Linked DNA regions of Sus scrofa. The protein of the gene in region 1 interacts with the protein of each later gene in a pairwise test. Links are inferred from orthologs where the notes say so. Each region holds a gene or a part of one and is shown in the gene's direction. Other genes may lie near its edges.

What was found. The genes of interacting proteins can lie anywhere in the genome.
Region 2: the proteins of SPRED1 (region 1) and HPCAL4 interact in binary tests that used the Homo sapiens proteins (3 or more experiments, as listed by UniProt). The link is inferred for Sus scrofa from reciprocal best matches to the Homo sapiens genes SPRED1 and HPCAL4.
Region 3: the proteins of SPRED1 (region 1) and CREB5 interact in binary tests that used the Homo sapiens proteins (3 or more experiments, as listed by UniProt). The link is inferred for Sus scrofa from reciprocal best matches to the Homo sapiens genes SPRED1 and CREB5.

Annotation. Positions count from the first base shown.
Region 1 is NC_010443.5:132,959,879-132,965,407, reverse strand, and holds part of SPRED1 (sprouty-related, EVH1 domain-containing protein 1), read left to right. Parts: intron 1-2,376; coding exon 2,377-2,551; intron 2,552-5,529. UniProt on the Homo sapiens protein: Tyrosine kinase substrate that inhibits growth-factor-mediated activation of MAP kinase. Negatively regulates hematopoiesis of bone marrow.
Region 2 is NC_010448.4:95,512,077-95,518,209, reverse strand, and holds the start of HPCAL4 (hippocalcin-like protein 4), read left to right. Parts: upstream 1-2,317; 5' UTR 2,318-2,498; intron 2,499-6,133. UniProt on the Homo sapiens protein: May be involved in the calcium-dependent regulation of rhodopsin phosphorylation.
Region 3 is NC_010460.4:44,260,661-44,266,904, reverse strand, and holds the start of CREB5 (cyclic AMP-responsive element-binding protein 5), read left to right. Parts: upstream 1-2,428; 5' UTR 2,429-2,508; intron 2,509-2,514; exon of another isoform or gene 2,515-2,995; 5' UTR 2,996-6,072; coding exon 6,073-6,075; intron 6,076-6,244. UniProt on the Homo sapiens protein: Binds to the cAMP response element and activates transcription.

The DNA of each region.
Region 1 (5,529 bases):
TTCTATTTTTTCCCTGGCTTTGAATTAATATTATGACAACTACTTCAATTTTAAATTCTTTGTTGTAATAATAATTAACTTATAATAAAATATATATATTGTTTATTATGTGTCAGACATTGTTTTCATTTATTAGAGGTAGGTTCTGTAACTTTCTCAAAAACACATAGGTAAGTTGCTAAGATCCAACTTAAGGAAGTTTGACTTTAGATTCCTTACTCAACCATAACACAATGTCAGAGAGCTTTAAAAGTATACAGCTCTCTGACAAAAGATTTGTGTTGAGAATATATGAAGAACTTCTAAAAATCGTAATAAAGTACAGCATAATAAAAACATAAAAAGTCATATAGTGGCCAGTCAACATATAAAAATGCATAATATCATGCATCCATCATGAGAAATGAATATTAAAATCACAGTGGGTTACCAATTTATACTTAACTACCATGAATAAAATTTAAAAAACACAACACCAAATGGTGGAGTTCTTGTTGTGGCTCAGTGGGTTAAGGACCTGACATAGTCCCTGTGAGGATATGAACTTGGTTTCTGACCTTGCTCAGTGAGTTAAGGATCTGGCGTTGCTGTAAGCTACAGTGTAGGTCACAGATGTGGCTCGGATCCAGTGTTGTCATGGCTGTGGTGTAGGCTGCAGCTGCAGCTCTGTTTTGACCCCTGACCTGGGAACTTCCATATTCCATCAGATGTTGCCATAAAAAGAAAAAAAAAATGTTGGTGCAAATGCGGAGCAAATGAAACTATCATACATGTTGATGGGAATGTATAATGGGCCATTTGCACCTTGGGAAATAGTTTGTTAATTTATTATGTAGTTAAACATGGTACCCTGTGATTCATCAATTCCATCCTTAGGTAATTATCAACAGAAATGAAAACATGTATCTACAAAAAGACTTATACAAGAATGTTCATAACAGTTTTATTCACCATAGCCAATAAGTAGGAACATTTCAAATGCCCATTCATCAAGAAGAAATAAATGAATTGTGGTTTATTTACTCAGTGGGAAGACTACTTAGCCGTAAAAAAGAACGAAACACTAATAAAACAACAATGAATGAAAGAAGTCAGACAAAAAGGGTGGTGGTGATTCTCTTTGATTCTATTTATGTGAAGGTCTATAATAGGCAAAACTATATGATAGAAACCATGGATAGCATTGGTTACCTAGGTTACCAAATTGATGGGAAAGAGGCTTTAAAGAATTTTCTGGAGTCATGAATATGCTCTATATCTTGATTATCATGTTGGATGTGCAGTTGTATACATTTGTCAGAATTTGTTGAATTTATACTTAATATCAATATACCAATATGAATTATTGTATGTAGCATATACCTCAATAAAATAAATATGTAAAGTAGAAAAAAAGCAAGGGGCAGATCTCATATCAGCACTGTGAGGACAGAAATGACACCTGGCAACCTAATACTTAGAACATGTGGATACACTAAGTAGCACAGAATTGTTACATTGTACCTCAGTTAACAGTTGTAATAACCAAGACAAGTTTAAGTTACACTCAATGTAATTTTTCAGAAGTCAGCAAGGTATAAAATGCTTAGAAAGGATTTCATTAATAATTATTATACTAAAAGTTTTAGAGCTGAAGTGTTTAGATGTCAGTTATCTAGAACATTATTATATGAAACATATTTCTCAGATTTATGTAAAGAATAGTTGTGATTAATATTGGGAAGTTATTCTGAATGGAACTAGAATATAGTGTCTTTTAAGAATAGTCTGCCAAAAAGGGAGCATGAAAACTTTCTATAGATCAGTTTGCTTGATAAGTTTTTAAAATGAAACATTTGTTTTTATATGATTTGTGTGATTTAGATTCCTAGTTAGGAAAAATCAAAAAATGTCTGGCCTAAGCATGTTTGTTTCAGCATTTTATTTGTAATATGTTTCGGAAATGTTAGAAACATAGAGATGTCACAATTAAATGTTCTAAAATACAGCAGTAATTTGTCCTGCTTATATTGCAGGTGGGCATATATTAGACAACTTTAATAGTCACCTGTGCAGTTTGACTGCATTTGTTTCTAGGATTCTTCCTTACTTGTTCATGGCAATCAGATGTGCTCAAACTATTCAAATGATGACTTGAAATTAGAAATTTTTATTGTGAGATTAGTCTTCAAAATAAAAGTTGACCTTTTAAGTTAGTTACTCTGTGGTTTTTTACCTTTTCAATTAAGTTGTATCCTGTGGACTGTCATAGAAGTAGTCCACACTTTAGTTACCACATATTAACTGATGTGGTCTTTGGTTTTTCAAGTAAGACTGATAGCTTGGCTGGTTTTTGTTTATGGAGAAGCTAATTTCTAATCTTTGCATCTGTTTTAGTAATAGTTATGCACGAGTGCGAGCTGTGGTGATGACCCGGGATGACTCAAGTGGTGGATGGTTACCACTTGGAGGGAGTGGACTAAGCTGCGTCACTGTCTTCAAAGTCCCTCACCAGGAAGAGAATGGCTGTGCTGACTTTTATATCCGTGGAGAGCGACTCAGGGACAAAATGGTAATGAATAATGCATATATGACTGTAATTTTAAAATTCTATAGAGTGAATTATCTATTTAAAATTATGAGGAGTTCCTGTTCTGGCACAGCGGAAACGAGTCTGACTAGGAACCATGAGTTTGCGGATTCTATCCCTGGCCTTGCTAAGTGAGTTAAGGATCAGGTGTTGCCAGTAGGTCAAAGATGTGGCTGAGATCCTGTGGTGCTGTGGCTGTGGCATAGGGCAGCAGGTGTAGCTCCGATTTGACCCCTAGCCTGGGAACTTCCCTGTGCCACAGGTGCAGCCCTAAAAAGCAAACAAAAAATTATGATTTTATTATGAAAATTATTTTTGTTCAAAATCAGTGATTGTTTCTTTAGCTCTTTTAGCTACAGAAGTTAAAGACAGCAAAATATGTCTGTTTCTTTGCAAGTGGGACTAACATTAACGTGTATGTGTTAGAAGGGAGCTGCTTTTCCAATTAGGTTTTATGTGAGAACATTCATGTATAGTCCGTCCCCCCGCCCCAGTTATTAAACCAGGCACATCTTCCTCCCCTTCTCCCAGTATTCCTTAGACTAGAGGTTGGCACTACAGTTCACAGGCTAAATCCAGACCTGTCGTTGTTTTTGCATAGCCCATGAGTTAAATGGTTCTTAAATTTTTAAATGACTGGGGAAAAAAAATCAAAGAATAATAACTTTATGAAGATGAAAATTATGTGAAATTCAAATTTCAGTGTCTATAAATAAAATATTATTGGAACATAGCCCCACTTGTTCGTTTGTATTTTACCTATGGCTGCTTTCACAATATAGTGACAAAGTTGAGTAGTTGCAACAGAGATTAAATATCTGGCCCCTTACAGAAACATTTTGCTGACCCCTACCCTAGAATTTTGTGTTCATAGGTTCTTTCTCCTCATCACTTATCAGTCTAAACTCATTATATAACTACCTGGTGGCCACCTTAGGTTTTAACTATGCTGTCTTCCACCCAGACAAGTGTTGTTTTTTTTTTTTTTTTTCCACATCTATATATTTTAAATTTGAATCTGACTTTTGATCATCTTAGCTATTTACCATCAATTATATATGGGAAGCTCTTTCTCCTTTATTTCATTTGTGAGCAAAAAACAACTCTAATCTTATCAGAAAAGCTGAGTGATGTTAGTCTTATTCCTGAATCAAGCAAATGGAGAGCATATGACTTAGCAAAATGAGAATAAGTGCCCCAAATTTCCAAGATTCTTGAAAATAACTAGAATTCCCTTTAGCTATGTATTTGTGGGCTGATATATGAGCTTATTCAGCATCTATATTATTATTTCTATTGAAAATGTGTTTTAAGTTTTGAATAATTCATACATAAAAATTTTGAATAAACCTACTTTTAATTTTGCTTCTTTGTTTCTGGATATTTTTTTACTACTAAATTAGTTCAGTAATTTAAAAAGTTGTCTAACTGTCTGTCTTCCAGTTTCTGCCTCAGGTAAATGGAGAGTTTTCCTAAATCATCTTGAAACCCTTCCAGCTCTAATGTTTTGTTAGTTTAGGATTCACTTATCAGTGCCTTTCAATTAACTAGAATGTGGTTTTAGGATAATAGAAAACTCCAGTTGAAGTCAGAAGTATATCTAATTTAACATGTCATCTCTGAAAGTTGAGATATTTAAATGTGGTTCTGGTCATGGATAACATGGTGGCTAGCATGTACTAATGCTTATTTAAAATAAAGCTTGTAGGAGTTCCCGTCATGGCGCAGTGGTTAATGAATCCGACTGGGAACCATGAGGTTGCGGGTTCGATCCCTGCCCTTGCTCAGCAGCTTAACAATCCAGCGTTGCCGTGAGCTGTGGTGTAGGTTGCAGACGTGGCTCAGATTCCGCGTTTCTGTGGCTCTGGCATAGGCTGGCAGCTACAGCTCTGATTAGACCCCTAGCCTGGGAACCTCCATATGCTGTGGGAGCAGCCCAAGAAATGGCAAAAAAGACCAAAAAAAAAAAAAGAAAGAAAAGAATCCTATAATAAAAATTAAAAAAATAAATAAATAAAATAAAATAAAGCTTGTAGAGTTCTTAGAGCCTATGGTGACTTGTCCTGTAGTGTAGTGCTTCTTGTTTGAGGTATCAGTAACTAGGAAGTGTTGTTGGGGAAGCTGTAGATTTTAGAAATTGAATAAAATAGTGACAATCTAAGGCATTTTTTAAAATAGTAAAGATGGAGAAAGAGAAGACAGAAACAAAAGTTGGAGAAAGAGTTGGAGAAGTTTGCTAGCAAAAGCATGGGAACAAAGATGTGAAACAGAGAAAAACAATCAGAGTGAAACAAAACACAGTTGGCCCTGTGTGTCTACAGGTTTTGCACCTATGGATTCAACCAACCACAGATGGAAAATATTTGAAAAAGAAATTCCAAAAAGTTCCAAAAAGCAAAAATTGAATTCGCCTTGTGCTGCCACCTATTTATATAGCACTTACATTGTATTAGGTATGGTAAGTAATTTAGAGATGATTTAAAGTATATGGGAGGGAGGATATGTAGATTCTATCCAAATATTTTGCCTTTTCATATAAGGACTTGAGCATCTGCAGATTTTGGTATTAGTGGGGCCAGAGGGAGTACTGGAACCAGTCTCATATGAGTAACAAAGGACTGTATTAATGAAGATGGACAGATTTACTTGAGGATGATGAAATAACCAAATCTACATCACTCAGAGTGAGGCTGATCAGAGATAAGCTCAGATTGATGGATTAGGTGGTTGCCCAGAGTCTAGCTTTTTTTTTTTTTTTTTTTTGTCTTTTTGGGGCCACACTCACAGCATATGCAGGTTCCCAGGCTAGGAGTCAAATTGGAGCTGTAGCCGCCAGCCTACACCTACACCACAGCCACAGCAACGCCAGATCCGAGCCATGTCTGCAACCTACACCACAGCTCACGGCAACGCCAGATCCCCAACCCACTGAGTGAGGCCAGGGGTTGAACCCACAACCT
Region 2 (6,133 bases), on another chromosome or scaffold:
TTTTTTTAATATCCACCCCTGGCAGTGGTCATCTCTGGGATGATGCAGACTTGGCAGAGTGTCTGGCACAGAGCAAAGCAACTCAATCAATGTCAACTGCTATAGCTTTAAACACTGAACCTAAAGGGCAGAGGCAGGATCAAGATCAGAGCCTCATAAGCTGGTAAAGATGGGTTATGACTGGCAGATCAGGAACAATTAGAGGGCATGTGATGATTCATGGGCAAGGCTGTGTGGGTGGGCTGGCCGGGTTTAAAGAGCCAGAGCAAGACCAATCTATTCTGCTGGGCTTTGCCTTTCTAATGCCTTGGGCGATCCAAGGAGAATATTCTAATCCGAGGTCCCTTGGGTTGAGGACTTGAAGGCCTTAAAGAGAGGTGGTATTTTGTGCTGGCTACAAGTGTAGGTGCTGGAGCCAGAATGCTTGGGTTCAAATCCCAGCTCAGTGGCTTTACTAGCTTTGTGAACATGCCCTGGTCATGTAACAGTTCTGTGCCTCAATGTCTCATCTGTTAAATGGGAGTGATAAAAGTACCTGCCTCAGAAAAATCTTATGAGGAACAAAGTAGGTAATACATATAAAGTGTTAGAATAGCATTTGGCACAAAGTAAGGTCTCTATGTGTTAGTTATTATCAAGGAGGTCACAAATGTAGTGGAGCAGTCTAATTCGTGCCCACACAGGTCCGTCCACTTTTTTCTTCCCCTCCTAGTTGAAATTCTCCTCCTCCCCTAGGCCTCCTGTACCAGCTCCCACATTTTACAGACTGGGAAGCACAGAGTGAGAAGGATGTTGCCCATGGTCTTATGTGGGGTCATTGGCAAAGACGGGACTCCATTTTCAAATTCTAGAGACCACTTCCAGCATCTTATGCTGCCACTTCCACTTCCTCATGCTTTGGATTATGATATCAGTGAGCAGGGATGGGTCCCCAGGGCTAGAGGCTCAGGACGTGACGGAGTCAGGGCTTTCAAACACCTGTCCCTTGTCAGTCACCAAAGGGGACAGGGACGTGCCTACTTACTGGTGCCCCAGGTATGCTCTCATCCCACTAGGACGCCTGCAGCTAGGAGGAAGGGACAGCAAAACAGGTTCAAGAGGGACTGGGATGGTGCCTAAAGAAAAAGAGAGAACACCACTGACTTCTCCCCAGCGAGCCTGGCCATGAAGTTTCTGGGATCAGCCGAGAAACCAAGCCTTCGCTCTTGACCAGCTGGCCCCGCCCACCGCAAAAATTGCTTTCTTGGGCAGAAGTCCCGCCTCTCCCCCTCCCACCTCATGGCTCTTTAGCATCCCAGCTCTGATTGGACTAATCCCCAGACTCCCCGCCCTACTTTTGACAGATGCTTAGCAGTCCCTCCCCTGCACGTGGCCCAGCCAGAGGCTGGCTGCTCCCCTTCCCTACTCGCCCCCCCCACCTCCCCCAGCTTGGAGTAAAAAGGTTCCCTCTCGTCGCCTTGGGTCGGGAGCTCTCAGCTTCCATTGCAGCTGGGGCGGCAGGACAGGGCTTTGGGGAGACCCCCAAGTGCGGGAGGAGGTGTTCCCAGGGCCCTGAAACCTTCCAGACCTGCTCAGTGTAAACCGCCTCGGGCTTGTGTCAACATCCGAAGCCAGAGACTGGCGGCGGCTGGGGACAGACTTCGTCTAAGGAGACCGGAGGGTGGGGAATGGAGGGGTCCATAGGGTAGGCAGAGAGATCCCAGGAGGCTTCCTGAGACTGAGAAATAAGGAAAGTCTGTCTGGGGAGGGATCGGAATTAGAGGCTGTAAGGGGCCCAGGACTAGCGTGGGGCTAAGTGGAGCCTGGGTACTTCGCCATCCCCGTCCACTTGCCTGCTCTCAGTTCCTTGGCGAGAGGGGTGGTTGGGTTGGAAGGGGGATGAGAAGGCGTGGGCTGCTGACTACCGCATCTTTTTCCTCCCCACTCAGTTCCTCCTCACCCTCCTCTGATTTGGGGTGAGATACAGGAGGGGGTCACATCTTGTGACTCATCCCCTTTTCTGTCCCCACCCCCGCTGGGGCCCAAGAAGGAAAGGCTTAGAGACTCGGCTGTGGCTCTCTCGTTTCCATAGCAACCGTGCGGTTGTTTTCGCGGATCCATATCAATCGTGGACACTTTTAACCCCTGAGGCCCGGGTCTGAGCCTCGGGGAGGGAGACAGATGGGGGTACAGCCCTCCCTCTTCCTCGCGACTCTGGGAAGGTCAGGGAGGGCAGGCGGGGCGCGTTCTTGTAGCCCAGCCTCACTGGCCACTTGGTCCCCACCTGAAACCCCGCCTGCCACTCCGCCTCAGCCGAGCCAATCAACGCCTAATCTGCCCAGAATGAGGCGGGGCTTATGCAAATCGTGTCGCCTCCGACAGACACATAGTGATACAAGAGCTGGGAGGCGGCTCCGGCGCGGACCTTGGAGAACCTGGCGGCCGGCCCGCGAGCCAGTCTCGGTCCCCACGGCCCGCCGAGGCTCAGAGTCATCCAGCGACCCGGCGCTCGGCCTCAGGTAACGCGGGCAGGGCCGGGAGGAGGCCCTTGTCCCCTCCCCCTCCACTCTCCATTCCCATCCTCGTCTTCTGCCCCACTCTGATCCATCTCCCTGACCCCTGGTTCCACCATAGGAGGCAGTATATGGAGAGCCCGCCCCTGGCCAGAGGATTCCTCCCCACCCCTCCAGTCCATTCCAGACCCTACAGGTCCCAGGGAAGGAGGCAGAAGCGTGTCCTTACTCTCAGAGCAACCACTGCTCTCGCGCCCAACACACACACACCACACACACACACACACACACACACCTGGGGTCGCAGTGTTGCTGGTGCCAACGAAGGAACCCATCACTCTCCCTCCTTTGGAAATGGGAGATTGCCCCAGCCCCATGGCAACCACCCACCTCCACAGGTAGCCCTCACCGCACACCATCCAACCCCACCAAGAGGTCACTGCACTTCACACCACAATGTCGCTGGCCCCCAAGACAGCCTCCGCCTCCACAGAGAGCCCACTCCCACTTCACGTTGTCGCCTCAGACTGTCCGCACCTCCAGCTCTCAAGCTGACAGAGCTCATAGCATACTTGTGGGAGGGAGGAGGCTCCCACATCCAGTTCTCTTCCTTGAGACACTCTCTCAACAGCCCCCCTGCCCAGGGTCTCAGTGTGAGGCGCAGGCCTCTTTTGCCTGGTGGGAGGATGAACCAGGGACAACACCCCCAACAGACCGTCAAGGTCCCACCCAGCCTCCTCCATTCCCCCAGCTCTCAGCCCTCACGGCCAAAGCACCAAGTCTTCTCATTCCACCTCTCAAATATCTAATTCATACCCTTCCTGGACTTCTGGCATCCAGCCGCTCCCTCTCTCCTATCTTCCTGTGGCTCCACAGGGACCATGACAAAGCTCCAGGTGTGCCTTGCCTAAGGCAGCCTGAACCTGGAGGGCAGAAGAGCCAGGCTCAGATCTTGCCTTTGCCTCAGTGGCTGTTTGACTTAGGCCAAGTCACTTCCTTCTCTGATCTTCCACCAAATGGGGAATTCAGGGGTGGGGTTGGTGTGGGCAAGCCAGAGTGTGGAGTTGATGAGATGATCTTGGACAGCTTTCCAGCACTGACATACTCTGGTTCTGTGGCTGATTATGAGAAAACAGGGCCCTCTCCCTCTTTCCCTGAACCTTTAGGACATTTGAGAGAGGAAGCCTCAGGGACTTTAGTCCTCACTGAAAGGACATTGCTTCTTTCCCAGACCTGAGTATGGACCACCCCCTCCCACACACTTTCCAGACCCAGGCTTCTTCTCAGCTTTTAGGAGTCCCTCCTAGGTCATCAGCCCGCATGACATGGGCAGGTTCAGGGTAGAGGAATTCAACAGGACCTACCCTTTTTTTGTCATCCCCTGTTTCTCAATAATAAGGAGAAGGAGAAGACCTGACTGTTGCTGCTATGGCCGCTGCTTGGAGAAGAGCAAAGGAAGGAGAGGAAAGAGAAAAATCTCCTGACCAGGGAGCTGTTGTCACCATAGCAACAGTCTCAGCACCAGCTCCTCTGAAGCTGGGTGAGGGTGTGGGATTATTGCCTCCCTCAGTCCCTCCCACCCTTCCTGCCACCTCTCCCTCTGGAGCCCACACTCCTGGGCCCTGCCCTCTGAAAGTAGCTTCTGAGCCCAGAGGGACAGCGGCTTTGTGTATGGGGCAGTGCCAGCTCCTTCAAGGCTGGAGGGCAGCCCTCAAGAGGAGCCTGCCCATCTTCAGCATGGCCGCAGCTGCAACAGGACATGCCCCCAGTGGGTTCTGGCCTTCACCTTTCTGCTGACGGGCTCTACTTGACCTTGGGTGAACTCTTCCTTTCCCCATTGTCTCTAAGGTGCCATGGCAGGAGAACACAGATAAACAAACCAGCCAGCCATCATCTCAAGGAGAAAAAAGGGGGTTCTGCCTCTCCCATATAATCCATGCAGGGACATTCATTAAACATGTCTGTGTTCCAGACATGGCCTTTAGGTCTCTGCAGGGCAGTTCTGTACTGTCACAGAGGGCAGAATGGAAACCTGCGTGGGGCAGCTACAAGAGGGCACGATAGGAACAGTGGGAGAAACACTTTTCTCACTGGCCCAGCTGCTCCCAAGAAGGCTGGGTTACATCAAGTAGGGATAAACTCTTTGCCATGGAGCAAAAGGTCTAGAGAACTTTTCCTGGCTCAGGCAAGAATTTAATGCAAAGGTCTCCCCCAAATCAGGCTCTATTCCCGAATTCTAGAGCGCCAGGTGAGGGTCAGAGGACTCTGGAGTCTATGCACCTGTGGGCTCAACTCCATGCCCAGAATGCCAAGTCCATGCTGCTGACTGTCTACTCTCCAGGCTGGGGGAGGCTGATCATAAGGCAGTGGGCTTCAGTCAGGCCCAAAGGCTGATTATAGCTGCATCAGCCCAGAAGGGCAGAAAGGCTATTAGGGAAGATGAAAACAGCCAAGCAATAGTTGAAATAGGTTCTGGCTTGAAAGTACGTAGTTGAGAGGGGAGCAGTGGGAGGTGAGGCTAGACAGGTAGACACCTTGACATCAGATTCTAGAGGACTCTGGAGTTTGAGGGGGCTCATGGGCAAGGCCACCATCTATCTCTAGTTTATATTGTACTTTTGGGCAATAACAGAAAAAACATTCTCTTGGGACAGAGGAATCAGAAAGAAAGGCACTCCCTCCAAGGCAGTTGAGCTCAGGGGCATGGCTTGGCAAAGCAGTGCCCCAACTGGCTTTCAGCCCCCTCCACTGTGCCCCTGGCCCTGGCTATGACAGAGGACAGAGTGAAGGTTTCGGGAGTACTTCAAAAGGAAGAATACTAGGACTTATAGCAAGTTGGACTTAGAGATAAGGGAGAAATTAAAGGTAACTAGGAAAGAAGGAAGGGCCATGGAAAGAGAAGGATCATCACAGGTTGAGGGCGAGTCTGGTCGTGGATGTGCTGAATCAGAGGTGCTGGTGGGCCACCCCAAGGGATAGATATTTCCTGGGTATCAGATACCATGACCTAGAGCCAACAAGATGGTCCTATTAAGGCCAAGAGGAAGATCAGAGCTATGGCTTCCTTGGAGGGTGGGTGGAAGTCTTTGCTGGACAAGAGTAGCCATGACTTGGAGTGGGTAGTCCAGACAGGTGATATGGATTCAGCCTGGTTTCTCATCCCCTTCCACTAGCTTACTGTGTAAGTCTGAGCCAGCTTTCTCTTTTCTCTGAGTTCCAACTTTCACTAAAATACAGGGATGATCTTAAAAAGGGCATCTCCAGCTTTGGCTGGCAGTGCCCTTTAAGATCTAAGAGCAGTAGAAGGAATGAGGCGAAATGAAGGAGGAGGCTTAGTCTTGCTGGGCGTGGGGTCAAATAGGGGCTGAGAACACGTATGGCCCCAGGAGACAGAAAGTGGTTTGAAGGCAGAACGGGACAGGGAAGAGAAAAGGGGCAAAAGATGAGAGCCATACAGACACCATCACACACACACACACCCACACACACACTCCACGCGCACGCGCACTCAGGCAGATTTGCAGTCTCATACACTGACGTGCTCCCACCCACACCCAGCTCCTTACACAGACACTCAGGCACATCCCACAGGAGACAGAGAGAGAAGCTCTGCCTCCCCCATCAGACACCTCCACCTCTGG
Region 3 (6,244 bases), on another chromosome or scaffold:
ATGTGGAGAAATTATCTGTCCATTGAGACTCCAAGTAACCTAATGATTATCAAGTTTTTGGGGAAGTCATTGGAAGAGTCCCATGTGTATTCTCTTGTCAACCGTGGTGTAGACAGGGTGATGTTTACCTGGTAACAGCACATCAAACAAAAGATCAGCAACAATTTTCAAGGATGGACAACTGATTTGGATAGTATTAGAAACTGATGAGCTACTTGCTTTAAAACTCAAATATATGCTTCTGTTTAGAGAATATTGGGAATTAAATGTTTTAAATTTATATGTTGATTAACTAATTACAGGTTTTAAACTCTTTTGATCATCATCTCAGTTTTGCTTATTCAATTCTCCATTCTATTCCTTTGGTCCACACCTGTCAGCCGGAAGAAGAGATGAGCTCTCTGACTGAGCATTGATAAGTTAGGCTGTCTGCCTTTTCTGTCTCAAGGTTGCTCCTTGTCTGGTTCACGCTTTTTCTTTAAGGGAGAAGGAGGTAGATCCTTGCTTTAGGTGGAAAAGGATGTCCAGCTAATTGAGTAGGAATGTGGGCAAGGAGGCTGTTCCTCAGGAGGCTGTTGCTTTCTTCTGTAAACACAGGTAATTGAGCTGTCATTTTAAAAGTTTTATTAGTTAAGATTCAAGTTAGGACTGGAGCCCTTCTTTTGCAATTCCTTCAGGGCTACACGTGGAAGAGAACAAATAGGAAACGCAGTGATGAGTTCTGAATCAAGCTGTGGGAAAGGAATAGTCAGCAGTCCCTGTGGTCTCAAGAAACACCAAGAAAGAGAGTTGTTTAAACACTTAAAAAATAGAAAGGAAACACAGAGCTCTTCCATTTAGTATGGCAAAACCAGCTCAGAAGTATGTGACGATCCAGGCAAAGCACGACAGTTTCTAGCCAGTCCAGTCATGATTCTCTGGCAAACTGCACAGTCATGGTTATGATGCATTGGGATGAGAGGTGCTATATAAATGTCAGATGTTACATAAATGTCAGGAATGATTATTGTTTGTTAATGGGGGCTAAACTGTTCCTAAGCAAAGCTTGGACTCCCAGCCAACTCGTCCTCAGCAAAGGTTCTAACCATCAATAACCCATGAGAATGGAAAGCTCCGCCCTGGTTCTAGAAAGGAGTCCAGTTAGGATTTGGAGTTTTAAAACAGGGGCGGGAGTTATCCAGTGGCTTCAGGCCAGCCCCCTAAGCTTCTGGAATTTGCCTTGGCTCCCTGTAAAATGGGGATAATTATAACACCTGCCCTACTTCTCCTTGTGCTGGGTTGTTGTGAGAATCAGGGGAGTTCCACGTGGGTTCCAGTGCTTTGCAAAGTGTGAGCTGCTGCAAGGATGACCGTGGTGCTCTGAGATGTCTGGCATCTCCTGGATTTAGCCTCTGCCTTCCCTTTGAGTCCGACTCACAGAGAGAACATCCGAATGGAAATTAAGCTGGGGATGGCCATGGTGACCTGGCTGATGCTGAAAACACCAGGCTCCTTCTCTCACTGAGCTGTCAGGAACGTACTGCAGACCAGGGCCCCGAATCCTGCATTCCGGCTCTGGCTCTGCCACTTGCCAGCTTATGAGCTTGGGCAAGTAACAGAGGAGGCTCTGGAAGTGAGCGCCAAGGGCCCTTCCGGATCTGACGCTGAGTCTAAATCAGGCTCATCATTTGGCTCTAGCTGTAATTCACCTTTCGCCTGCAGGAACAACGCTCCTTCCAGCTTCTCACACTCATGAAGCAGGGGTCTTGGGAAGGACAGGGGCATCACATTCCAAATGAGTGTGCACAATAAAGAAGTTATTCCTTTGGAGGTGAAATGGGGCGCGGCGGGGGGGGGGGAGGGCCGTGAAAAGGGGTGTCGAGTGAATGCTCTGAGAAGCCAGGATGCAGGGAACACTGTAATGAGGTCACGACTGTCGCAGGCAAAAAGGAGCTGGACATCTGCTGGTGGGGGAAGGGGGAGCGTTCCTCATTTCTGTTTGTAGAAAGTCTCTTCCCGCATTCGTCTGCACCCCCTCCCCACCCTTCCTCTACTCCCCATTCCCACCCTTCCCCTACTCCCCGTCCCCACACCTTTCAAATGCCACCAGGCCCTCCTCACGGGAGAGCCCAGGTCCCTGCCTCCTCCGTGGTCCCGTCTGAAACCGTGACGATTGTTTCCAAGCTGACTCACACCACTAATGTCAGGGAGCCGTGTCACACGGCGCTGGCCTCTGCAAGCTGTTGCTCGCGCGGTCGCCGCTGCCGCCGCCGCTCCCCCGCGGGTGCACCAGAGTCGGCTGGTGGGGCGGTGCGCGGGCGGGGCCCGCCCCCTCGGCGCGCCGGCCCCGCCCCTCCCTCCTCCCCCCACCCCCCCACGGGCCGCAATGATTTAGAAGTTCAGGAATCCCACGTGACGTCACCGGGGGGGTGATGTAATGCACTCTAAATAGAATGTATTGTAATCTTTGCTCAGTCCAACGTGGTCCCTTCACCCGGGCTCCGCTCTTGCCTTCTCCACACTTGTTTGGTAAGTTCCTAAAAATACGGCTCGGCCACTTCTGGGGCTTTTGCATTTAGCCACTTTTGTTGCACTTGCCGCGGGAGCCATCTCGGGAACGTACTTGTTTGCAGGGGCTGGTTCTCGGCAGCAGCCGCGAGGTTACTTGGTCTAGTGGGCAGGTCACAGGGCAAGAAGTAGGGGAAGATGCGATGCATTTTTTTTTTTTTTTTGGAGGATGATCTGTGTTTGTAAACACTCTGGCGGACCAGAGGGAAGTCCGTCCCCCAATGCTGGTGGACCGTGGAATTCGGCTGTGTCCTGAGGCTACCCCAGAGACCCCACGCCGAGTCCGTCCCGGAGCGCGTCTCGGTGGCCGCCGCGCCGTGCGACTGGAGGGATGCTAACGTGGAGCGAGCGCCGTGTCAGCCCCGGCGTGCGTGCGTGTGTGGGAGCGCGCGTGTGTTTCCCTGACACGGGGAACAGTTATGAATCGGGGGTGTGTGTTTGCCTCCAGAGACCTGGCAAGGTGCGGAACCCTCCAGAAGTGCGGTCAAGCGGCGTCAGCGGTGGCGGCAGCGGAGACGGCGAGCCAGGAACCGCCCCCCGCGTCCCCAACTTCCCGGTGATGCGGCGGAACCCCCGGAAAAAGTTTGCAAACTTCCAGCGGGCGCGGCGAGGACGCCGGGTCACCTAGGGGGCGGATGGACGGGCGCGCGGGGGGCTCGCTCCCTCCCCGGTGCTGAGCCTGCTGCTGCCACCTCTCCCGCAGGGCTGCCGGCCCCAGGTGGTGGGCGCGCGCGCCCTGGGAGGGGACGTCGCTCTTGGAGGGCACTTTGCTTTCACTCCGGGCGCGGAGGGCTGGAGAGTGGCGAGGCTCTTCTCGCCTTCATTCCTCCAGCCACCTCTTGCCTCCGTCCGGTTCTCGTTGGCATCATTACCTCTTCTCCGCTGCTGCCCCAAATGACAGCTCCCGCTTTTGCCGCGGCGGCGCGGTGGCAGTTCCCAGGATACGGCGGCGGCGAAGCCCTCTTCTCCAGGCAGATTCTTCAAGGAATCGCTTAAAACTTTTCACGACGGTCTTAGAGGGGCAAGACGCACGAAGCAACCAAAGAGATGTTTTTTCCCCGTCGGCTGCATTTCGCTTTTCTTTTGCTATAGGTTTATTGGGGGGGGTGCTAATCTGGTAGATGAAGCCCCCGATCTTGATCTTGTCCACTCCTCCCTAACTTTCCTTGAACGGGTGCCGCCCCCACTTGAGGCTGGTACAGGGCCGGGAACTCAAGTGGGTCTCTTGTGTATTTCGTTGTCAGAGCCCGCAGAGTGTATGATTTTTATTTTTCCCTCCCTCTCTGACATGTGTCAAGGAATAAAGGCTGGAGACAGGTCCATTACGTCATTCTGCAGGCCGTAAGTGTTTGATTAACAGCTTCAGATACTCAAGGGTTAGGGGCTTAGAAGTGCTGACAAAGCAACTATGCTTTCCATCCCCAGCCCCCACCATACTCGTACAATCGCCGATTCCCTGGGCATCTTTATTACCCTCTCCCTCTGGACCCCTCCTTCTCCGCCCGCTCTCTCCCGCCCATACCGTTATCACTCTGGCCCCGCCTCCGCCTTTTACTGCTTTCCCTGGGGCGGTCACAGTCCCTGGAGCGTGGTGAGAGCTTCTGGCGGCTGAGGGGGGCACAGTACCTGATCTGCGGGCACACAAGCTGCCCTTTTCTATTATTTAAGAAAGGCGCTAGCGAGCCCTCTCCTCTAGGGCAAAAATAACTTAGTCCTGATAGAAAAGGCATCTCAGGAAATGTTTAGAGACGCTACGGTGGATAATACCACGTCCCTGTGTTGACTTAGGAAAACAACACACCCACAGCAAACAAAGTACTTAATTTTACATAACGCCTTCCTCTTTCCTTCCAGCAGTTAGCCGGAGGGGGATGGCGAGGTTGTGCTGACTAAATCAAATTTATCCGAAAGGCTCAAGATTAAACGTTTCATTTCCAAAGTTAGGGAATGTGAGTCTTGGAACCCGAATACTATACAATAAATTGGGGCGTGTGTTACTTTCTTAATCTTAACCTTAAGTTTCTTTATTTAAAGAGGAAGTTAAGTATGGAAGTCACTGAATCGAGCCAGAATCTCCGTATCTGGCAGTTGAAATAAAAATACTGTTTGTGACACGTTTAAGGGATAAAAGTAAAAAGATCTCCGAGGGGTGGGGGTGCGGGGGTGCAGCAGGAGTCAAATAGAAGATTTCCTAACAGGATTTTGGATGGAGGAGGGCAGAGAGTTTCAGGGCTCTCTGATTTGGAGTTGGTGAAAGTTAAATAAAGGAAAATTTATATTCTGAGTATGTGGGAATTTCTTGAAGCATGCGTGTCTTGTTATAATCAAATCTGCTTTCTTCAAAGTGAAAGCCGTGCTGTAGAGTAGGCATTTGTGAAACTCCTGTCTGGGGTCTAATTGACATCTCCTTCCCCAAGTTTGTGGCAGTGTTTATTATTTATTCACATCTAGAGATGAAATAGTATAACCCCCACACAATACATGTGCATCTAAAATGTTAAACTTCTTGTTTGTGATGCATACATAGACCCAAAGGGAAAAATGGCCCGGGTCACCAGCACTGGAGAGTGTGATTAATGATCAGTGATTTAGTGATCAGTGATTAGTGGTTTTATTCAAACTGTTACCTCTGACCAGAAGCACACATCAGAGGATTAACAGGCTCTTTAGATAAATGCTCATTAGTGGAAGGGGGAAAGCAAAGATAATAGGCATGCACCCAGGGACAACTTTCGAAGAAAATCATTCCCCGTCTTCAGAATAATAAGCTCTATTAACAGAAAGCCCTTTTAATTTAAAACTTGCTTTTATCTTGTAAATCAAAGTTAGATGTAAAAGTTTGTAGTGCCATTATAACCTAAATTTTCCCATATCCACTTGATGTGGATTATCTCAGTAGCGATATTTTTTTTTATTTAAATAAACAATTGGACCTTTAAAGCAGCTGGACCCTGACAAGTCCTTAACTCCCAGGGTTTGAAGGTGTCCCCCCTTCTAGAAGGGAGAGTGCAGCTTGCTAACTAGATGGCGCACTGCTATTTGGTGTGCTGTGCTGTGTCCTGCAGGAGTCCAAAGGAGCAAGTAGCTGCTTGCGAGGTGTTCTCCCACACTCACAACAAAGTTGATTCTGTGCAGGGTTGGAGGCTAGACAGTTCTACAAGTTTTTAGTCACATTTTCCATGTCAGTTGAATCTAGGGAGTTCAAGGCTTCTGGAAAAATTGGTCTCATTACTAAAAGAAACGTAGAACCCAGGAGGAGAGGAGGTACGGGGAGACCAGGAGGTACCTCTGGGTTGCAGCAGTGATTGTAAAATACCAGACCTGTTCTTTTTTTTTTTTTTTTTTTTTGGGCTAAGAGCTAGCTTCACGGTCTTGTGATCTGAACTACTGAGGCAAACACTCAAAGCTTTATTTTCTTCCTAATCTTGCTGGTGAAAAAGACGTTGCTAGAAAGACAGGAAGAAAAAAAAATCTTGATTGGGTGACTGCAGGAAGCAACACGTTGCTGATTTTATTCTACAGATAATGGTAAGATGATGTTTGCTCCGCTTATTAAGCAGAAAGGGAACTTTGTGGTTGGCTAAATGAGAACAATCTTGTATTTTCATAGGTGAAATTCACAAATGGAGTTCTTATTTTACGTTGACTTTGAATGTGGCTTTTGCCAGTTTCCTGGATCTTGATAGCATTTTTTGTG